Xenopus tropicalis: one gene and its partner. The protein of the gene in region 2 interacts with the protein of the main gene of each other region in a pairwise test. Links are inferred from orthologs where the notes say so. Each region holds a gene or a part of one and is shown on either strand. Other genes may lie near its edges. The genes, in order: pex10 and pex12.

Region 1 (3,824 bases), on a different chromosome or scaffold from region 2:
TTAAAAAATATTTTCCCACTTGTACACAGAGAATAAAATAAGTCTTTTCTTTACCTTTTTTAACCAATCATTATACAGGGATATCTATGTCCACAACATGCCATACACATTTCAGTACTTGGCTTCACTACACAAGCAATTAGATTTCAGGTAGTCCTTTATGGCACACTTTAGGAAGACCGTGTTAGTTACAGTTGTGACTGGCATTAACTTGGTTTAGAATTGTTGTACAGCAACAGAAATGGTTTCTACTAAACAAGAAAAGCAAAGTGCTGTGCTGGAAGACTCCTCTTACTGAAAAAAACCTTAAGGCCCAAGTAGATTTCTGAATATCATCGGTAGTGACGTAAATAGACGAGTTTCTGCGGGCTAAATTTTTCTCGGCAGAGAGGGCATTCCGTCTAAGAAAAAAAACAGTTGCATTTTGATTGTCAGGACATGTTCAATTAAAGGGTGTTGCATGCAATGCAAATGACCTGTTGGATGTCCAAAGAATTTAGCAGTAAGTACACCTACAGACTACCAAGTACCCCCCGCTCATTCAAAATACCATAGTGGGTGAGGGCAGTGCTTATTAGGTACCTTCTAGATGTACGAACTCTTTTGTTGTACATCTACCGTGCTGAAAAGCATGCAAATTCACTGTTAAATTCACTGTTAAACTTTATTAAGATATAATTTTATGCCTTCAAATACGTATACAAACCAATGCGTATTCATGCTTACAGTAGCTGCCAAAAATGCAATACTGTTTACTGTGCATTTTTCTACTGTAACCCTAATTTATTTAGTGTGCAGACCCTGGGGCTCATTTTTAAACACTGCAACTACCTGCAGCTGATAAACATCTAGTCACTGATTGACTGGTATGGGTTTTTGCCCAGGTGTTAAACTGCCTGCTGATGATAAATGATCCCCCTAGACTCTTAAGGTGGTCTGTCTTTTACTAGCATCTCTAGTATAGTACTTGCACCCTAGTCTCACCTTGGTGTTACACCATTCCGTGATGCACTCCCAGCAGAAAAGATGGCCACAGGGTGTGGCTGTGCAGTGTCTGCGCACTTCTAAGCACAATGTGCACTTTGCACGGCGCTTATATGATTTCTCGTGTGGTGGTGCTCTATGGATATAAAGAAAGGTGGGAAAAAATTGAGACTTTAATGGCAAAGTTCAGCATTATATTAACCAAGTGATCATCACTACTTTGTGTGGCTTTGCATTTATTAGCTTTAGAAACAGATCAATTAATATTCATGTGATCATGGAAAAACAAAGGAAGGAAGTATTCATAATAATATCAACTAAACGCAACTGTGTTTTTTTTTTCCCAAAATCATAATTTTATAATAAATCTGCCACTTAGTATGCTACCCCTTTTTGGACTACAACTGACACTGTCTGGTTGGGTGAACCCACTGACACTATCAACCAATTCCACCATATGGCAGGTGGTTATTACAAAGTCCTGTTTAGGCCTCTGTTGCTTCCTAACTTGTGTGTTTGCATAAAGCGCAAGCTAGGAGTTGACTACGAGCATCCCTTCGGCCACCGCTTGTGCATGCAGCGCTGTCAAACGTAGGCATAGCTTTATTCAAGGAGGTAGCCGCAAGTCTCTGAGCAGCAATTCAATGAAGGCAATGTGCAAAGTGCATTGAATAAATGGAAAACCAAATTTCAAGCAAAGTCCCTCCATGTTGGTGATGTAATTACAACAAACCAATCTACCTGTGAGGTTACTGAGCAGGGCCTGGCAAGATCTAGGTCAAGAACATTCAGGCCAAGATGAAAAAAGATTAATATATACATGAGAATTATGATTTCCATATGGTTTATTAATGTACTTACCTCTGGTATGACATACGGCGAAGCAGTTTCCATTTCTGCTGGGCCTCCTGCCTCTGTTGAAAACTGTTAATCTGAACCCAAAGCAGCAGCATGAGATGAAGCAATGAGATTGCACCAAGAAAAGTGTAACTTCTGTCCACAAGCTGATCATCTCCAACTGACCTCCGTACACGAAGCTGTGGAAAGATTTAATAAAAGACTTTAGGATAAAATGAAAAGATTGGTGCAAACTGCTCTGTAAAAAGTTACTACATAACCCACATTGAATTGCTTTGTGATGTTTGGAGGCAGGCTGAGGACAGTTGATTACTGTTACTTTTTTAGAGTCTCAAAGTAGTCAGCCAAATCAGCACGAGAACATGGGGCCAGGCTTTTCTAACTGTTCCAAACCATATTATTATATTAAAAATCATGAAAAGGCTACATATTTTAAATCGATGTTTATTTCAAAGCTGCTTGACATTATGTTTACTTTTCAAAAAGCTTAAGTTGTGGGTGGAGTTCCTCTTTAAGGCTGATGCCACACGCGGCGTAGGGCTGATTTTTTCGGCAAGCGGAAAACCGCTTGCCGAAAAATCAGCCCTACGCCTGCTACTTGTGCCTGCACCCGAATGAATGGGATACGCTGGGGTGCAGGCACATGTAGCCGATATACGCATGAAAACGCGAGAGAATGCAAAGTCTCGCGTTTTCATGCGTATATCGGCTACATGTGCCTGCACCCGAGTGTATCCCATTCATTCGGGTGCAGGCACAAGTAGGAGGCGTAGGGATGAATTTTCGGCAAGCGTTTATCCGCTTGCCGAAAATTTCAGCCCTACGCCTCGTGTGGCATTAGCCTAATGTTTTCGATGGGTGTTAAAGCTGCTACTTGACTTCAATGAGCCCTAACACCCCACTGATAATTCATATGTTCGTATATTCGTATAAACAGACATTTATTTATGATGTCCCCCTTTTTTTTTGAGGCTGAAGCAGCAAGAAAAGCTAGCTCTACTGCCTAAAAAGTGCTTTGCGCAGGCAGGTAGCTCCATGCTCCCATAGAAAATAAAGGAGCAGCCACACAATTCCTTGCTCGCCATAGGACAGCACGCTGCACTTATGGTCTTGGAGATTGTGACATAACAAACTGTATAAGTTGGATGAAACTATTAGATATTTCTGTTTATGCTGAAATGTACCCCCTGCCCCCCTCCTACCTGTTATAGCAAATGCATTGTGTAGGTTAATCTCATCTAGGTGTGTATTGTGTGTAGCCAGCCAGCTCTGTCTGGCCCTCCCCATGTAATTGCCCCTATTGTGAGGGCACACAGAGCCAGACCCCATAGTGACACAATACACATAGTTACCCCTTGTGAGAGAAGTGCTCTGTCTAGTAAATGCAAAAGACTGAACTGGGCATGCTCACTAGGTGGCTTCCCATAGGCACAGTGGGATTAGCTATGATTGGCCCCTCTGGAAGCTGCCTTTGGGTTGGCAGAAGGAGTCAAATCCTGTTTTGGTTTTACGACAGGGGCTGTTCCCTTTCTGGCTCCAAAGGTGGCTGCCAAGAGTTCCAAGGAGCCTTTTGTCTGGGGTGTAACCTTAGCTACGGCAGGACCCCCTCCCCTGTGTTCCCCTGGAATCTACCTTAGCTGCGGCAAGAAGATTCCCCCCAACTGTGTGTATTTCCCTATTCCCTAAGGAACAAGAGTGCAGGCTGGCTACCACCTACTGGCTTATGGAAACCTGCTGATGGCTACTTGCCATTTCTCCAATAAACGCCTCATCCTGTGATACCAACTGTTTGCTCTTTGGGTCCTGCCCTATGTCTGGGAACTCACGGCCCTGAGGTTGTGACATAATTTCTTTTGGGGTGCCCCTTACTCCATTCCCAGAACTGACTGCTCTGATAGACATTGGGGAATGCTGAGCAATGCTTTCCTCTTGGTCCTGCTCCTGGTCCTCTCCAGCCAGCAACAACTCAGGTAGTGGGGAAT
Region 2 (4,594 bases):
TCAAAAAACAGAGAGCAAGGTCCATTGTTTCTCAAAGGCTGCAGAGGCAGCTGAAACGTTAGATGTGGATTGAATAAACACCTTTTATTTCACCTAAGACCTGTGAGTGTGGGACATCTTCACTTGCTATTATTCCTAAATTCATTGGGACTGCACCCAGGCATCGCTACTCTTTCAGTGACGTGATTGCCTGTCTACAAGCCAAATATATATATATATATACACAAATATAGTTTGAGTGTGTAGATGAAAAGCGTTAGGTATGAATGAGGGTATTAGGTAAAAAAAAATGTGTAATGGTTAAATAAACAATTCAGAAACTTTAGAATGAGTTGAGAAAAAGCTGAATTAAAAGATGGGGAGAAATATCCACTAAAGCATTAATGCTGTTTTTTATACCTAAACATTCTTGTTCTTTTGTATTCTGTCAAATGTGACTCCCCAAATAAGGGACTTGACATTTACTATATTCAAGTAGGGATCTTATCTGGAGAGTTGTATTATACTTTTACTCTCTCCTGTATATTGTCACATGACTGTGTACTTTAGTTAATATTTGTAATTATGCATGTATCTGTATTTTTAAGCCATTTGTAAGGTCTGAGGCAAGTTAAGTGTTATTCCCTATTGACTTCCAGACTATGCAATTAGAAGCTCAGTGTACTGGCACCCCTTTAGACTGCAAATTAATTGATTGTGTTCTCTGTTGAACGGAAGCTTTGTTTCAGTGAACCATTTTATACAAAGAAGCAAAGCACATTTAAATGCCACTGCTAGCCTAATGCTAATTTTATCCTTTTTAACATGAACCCCATGTTGTACAATATAGTGATTCACTGCATGCTGCTAGGCATCTGGATTTAAAGTTGACTATATCCCTGCTGATGCCTAGATTTAATGGTACGGTGTTAAATGAGGTGTTAAATATGTAAATATTTTATTTGCTCTGTTAATATTTAATTATCTACTCAGATGTGGTTTTACACATATAAACCTCTACATTTCTTACCATAAGGATATTAATACTGGGTGGTAACTTTATTATATGGTTGTCACTAGGGATGCACTGAATCCAATATTTTGGTATTTAGCCAAACCCCGAGTCGTTCGTGAAACATTTGGCTGAATACCAAACTGAATCTGAATTCGGATTTGCAAATGAAAATTAGGCTATGAAAGATTCCTGTTAAATCTTGGCAGAATACCAAACTGAATCCTGGATATGGTGCATCCCTAGTTTTCATTTAATTATTTTATTATGCATTTTACATTATTGCTAACTACATTGAAGTCCTCACTTTTTCTAGCAGTAATATAAAAGATATTTTTTGCACAGTTAATTACAATATAAATTGTGCAAAAAAGATCTTACAATCTATTTGAGGTGTTCCTGACTCTTTTCTTCTTTAGTTTACACTACTAGCAGGCTCACAAAAGGGTTGTGTGGGACAGCCATTTACAGGCAGCTAAAATGGCATTGAATAGCCAGATAAAAAAATCCACTATTGCAGGTTTACATAATAAACATTTTTTTAAACAATATAAAGAAAAAAATAAAGCCGGAAAATTGACAATATAAACAATCACAACTATACAGCAACGAAGCTGCAGGAAAAACACAAAGCTGTAAAATCAGACAAAACAAATATGAAATACTTAATTTACTTAAATGTGTAGTTAAAAAGCAATGTAACAATAGAGATTAGTGTTTCCAGTCTGCACTCACCTTCACAATATGGTGCAAAGCAGGCCTCACAGCTGCCATCAAACTCTCCTGAGCCACCACCTCAAAAATACTGGGCCGGTCATCAGACAGCGAAGTGGTGGTAATATGGGCCCCCCGCTCTGCCATTATGGAGGTTTAGTTCCGCTGCCAATATGAAAACTATTGCTGACTGCACCTTTAACCTTTTCCAGAATGTACCTGTTTAATCCAAGAAGACCACAATGTACAGTTACAATGCATTTGGGAAAAGAGGGAATTAGCATTCTTTACACCAGTGATCCCCAACCAGTGGCTCGGGGGCAACATGTTGCTCACCAACCCAGTGCTCCCAAACCAGGTAGTTATTTTTGAATTGCTGACTTGGGGGCAAGTTTTGGTTGAATAAAAACAAGATTTACTACCAAATAAAGCCCCCTGTAAGCTGATAGTGTGCACAGAGGCTACCTAATAGCCAATCTTAGCCCTTATTTGGCACCTCCATTAACTTTTATGTGTTGCTCCCCAAGCTTTTTTACATTTGACTGTGGCTCACGCGTAAGAAAGGTTGGGGATCCCTGCTTTACACAATAGACCAAGTGGAGCTGCATAACGTATGTCAAGCTTTGTGCTTACAAATACAATGTATGTACTTTGACATATATAAACTTAATGCACACTTCGGCAGGTATATAGCAAATATCGAGCAAACCAAAACAACCGAGCGGAGGAGTTCTAGGTTATCTATACCTGTCCCCCACGGCAGGCGATAAAGCAGTAACCGGGCCAAAGCTTGGAGGCCCCTACCATATATCTCTGTGCTCTACAAGAACCTGCATTACTGAGGTGAAAGATCGTATGTGCACACGTGTGCCCGTGCATGCGTTCCAGAGCCCTGCAGCGCACCCTTCTCTTATTGAGCAAACACTGGGAATTGTGCCCCGACCAAAACAATTACCATCTTGTGTGTATGAGAGATTCTGCTCAGTCCGGAGTACTTAATGTTCGAAACCGTCCCGTGGATCAGCCTCTAATAAATCCAATCCCCGCAACGCCAATCACAACATCGCATTCTCAACCTCGCAATTTCACAACCTGGAACGCAAAGTGACAGCAGGGATCACATCTTATTCCGGTTGTTGAGACGCCTTTCGCATTTCCGGTGTATGGAACGCAGATGGTAGTAGCTGTGTGTGAGAGCTGTGCTAGATTTCCGGGGCAGCGACCCGCACAGCGCCTTCTCCTCTCCCTGGGTTTCTCTTCATTCGGACATTTATCTCTCTCGTTCCTAAGCAAGTCTGTATTTTTCTGTACGTTATCGGTAAGTCGAAGCAATAAATCGGTGCTTGCCTTATCTAATAGAATAGCGGTAGAGATAGGGATGGGCAGGGCGCAGGGAGCCGCCTGGCTGCTGTAGGGTGCCTGCTTCGTGAGAATTCTTGTGTTGGGAGGTATGGTTATCGCAGGCATTTACTGCACACATAGAAGGTTGTTAATTCCAGGAGATCCATGAACACGTTTTGATTTCTATAAGCCACGATTTAATTAGCCTAAGTGATCACACGAAGATGATAATGACAATTCCTTGTCATAAAGCAAAATGACGCCTGATTTAATGTGTAAATAAAACAATAAAAGGCCATGTTTTTATCAAAGTCCTTTATTTCTCCATGGCCTTGACAGATCACACAAAATCACTTAAGTCAGACAGTTAAAAAATGCAAGGTTTATGTCAAGTTGCTTGGAATTGTAACTTTAGAATGACCACCTACGTTGCTGTCCGCTTCCCCTTAATGTCACCTACACTCAAGTGAGCATTGTTTGCTTCAGGATTCCCAAATAAAATGTCTTAGTTGTCATTAAGGAGGTGCCAAGTCCACTCTGGCAGAGCCAGATCACACCAAGCCTTCAATAACTTTGGTGGTGGCTTAGTTGATTTGCCTCCTGTGCCAAGCCTGTGCTCCACATGCCCCCCCCCCCCCCCCCCCAGCACTTATTTATGTTGTAATATAGTAGCTTGCCATGACTGGCTCCAATTACATCTTATTGTGTCATGTCACTCTTCTAAAAAATATATTAAATATATAACTGCCAATGTTATTGCCATTGCTCTGCAGGAATGTGAATTAGTATTGGAACATTGCTTTCATTCAAATTCGTTGCTTTTTGTACTGGTCTGAGATAATTGCTGGCTGTATGTGTTGCTGCTCCATAGGAAAATTACACTTGCTATCTGAATTCTCCCAAAGTCATTGGAGAATCCTTTGAAAGACACATTGAAATGAATTATATACTTGCAAGTACAAAACATTCAATATACTCTCTTATTTAACGTAACTTTAATCTTTTAAAGATATATATATATATTTTGTTAAATTTAAATTTTTTATTGATTTTTATAGCATAACAAACCATGACAGCACATACAGGTTAAAGTCATTTCTGACAGTAAAAGAGGATCAGGTTATACAGTATCTGTGTGGATATCAGTCTTAACCAGGTAGCAGTACATGAAAAACTTAAGCTCTTGTTTCAGTATTCAAGAGTTCCCTTTGTAAAGGGCCGTTCCTCGGCCCTGCGATACTGGTGCTACTTCCTGGGTCCCTTTCACCTGTTGTCACATTAAGTATTGATAGTGGCGTGCTGTCCGGTATTATTTAAACAATCAAAGTTAAAAATAGGTATATATAGAAAAAGGGTTTGAGGTAGAGAGGTAGTAGAGCATAGTAACTGGGACAGTAACTGGGTGAGAGAGAAATGGGGGGGGTGGGAGGGATAGGAAGGTCATTCTGCTCAGGAATTCTATGTTATAGTCCATTATTATTCTTTGGTCTCGTTGCTTTGGTACGGATAGGAGCCATCCGGCTACGATTAGTGAAGCTCGTTCTTTCT

What was found.
Region 1: the proteins of pex12 (region 2) and pex10 interact in a two-hybrid assay, tested with the Homo sapiens proteins (4 studies listed by BioGRID, with this or other methods). The link is inferred for Xenopus tropicalis from reciprocal best matches to the Homo sapiens genes PEX12 and PEX10.

What each region holds. Positions count from the first base shown.
Region 1 is NC_030683.2:90,521,724-90,525,547, reverse strand, and holds part of pex10 (peroxisome biogenesis factor 10), read right to left. Parts: intron 2,022-3,824; coding exon 1,846-2,021; intron 1,121-1,845; coding exon 985-1,120; intron 402-984; coding exon 333-401; 3' UTR 1-332.
Region 2 is NC_030678.2:93,513,427-93,518,020, forward strand, and holds the start of pex12 (peroxisome assembly protein 12), read right to left. Parts: upstream 2,802-4,594; 5' UTR 2,661-2,801; intron 2,648-2,660; exon of another isoform or gene 2,453-2,647; intron 1,925-2,452; 5' UTR 1,853-1,924; coding exon 1,727-1,852; intron 1-1,726. UniProt on the Homo sapiens protein: Component of a retrotranslocation channel required for peroxisome organization by mediating export of the PEX5 receptor from peroxisomes to the cytosol, thereby promoting PEX5 recycling.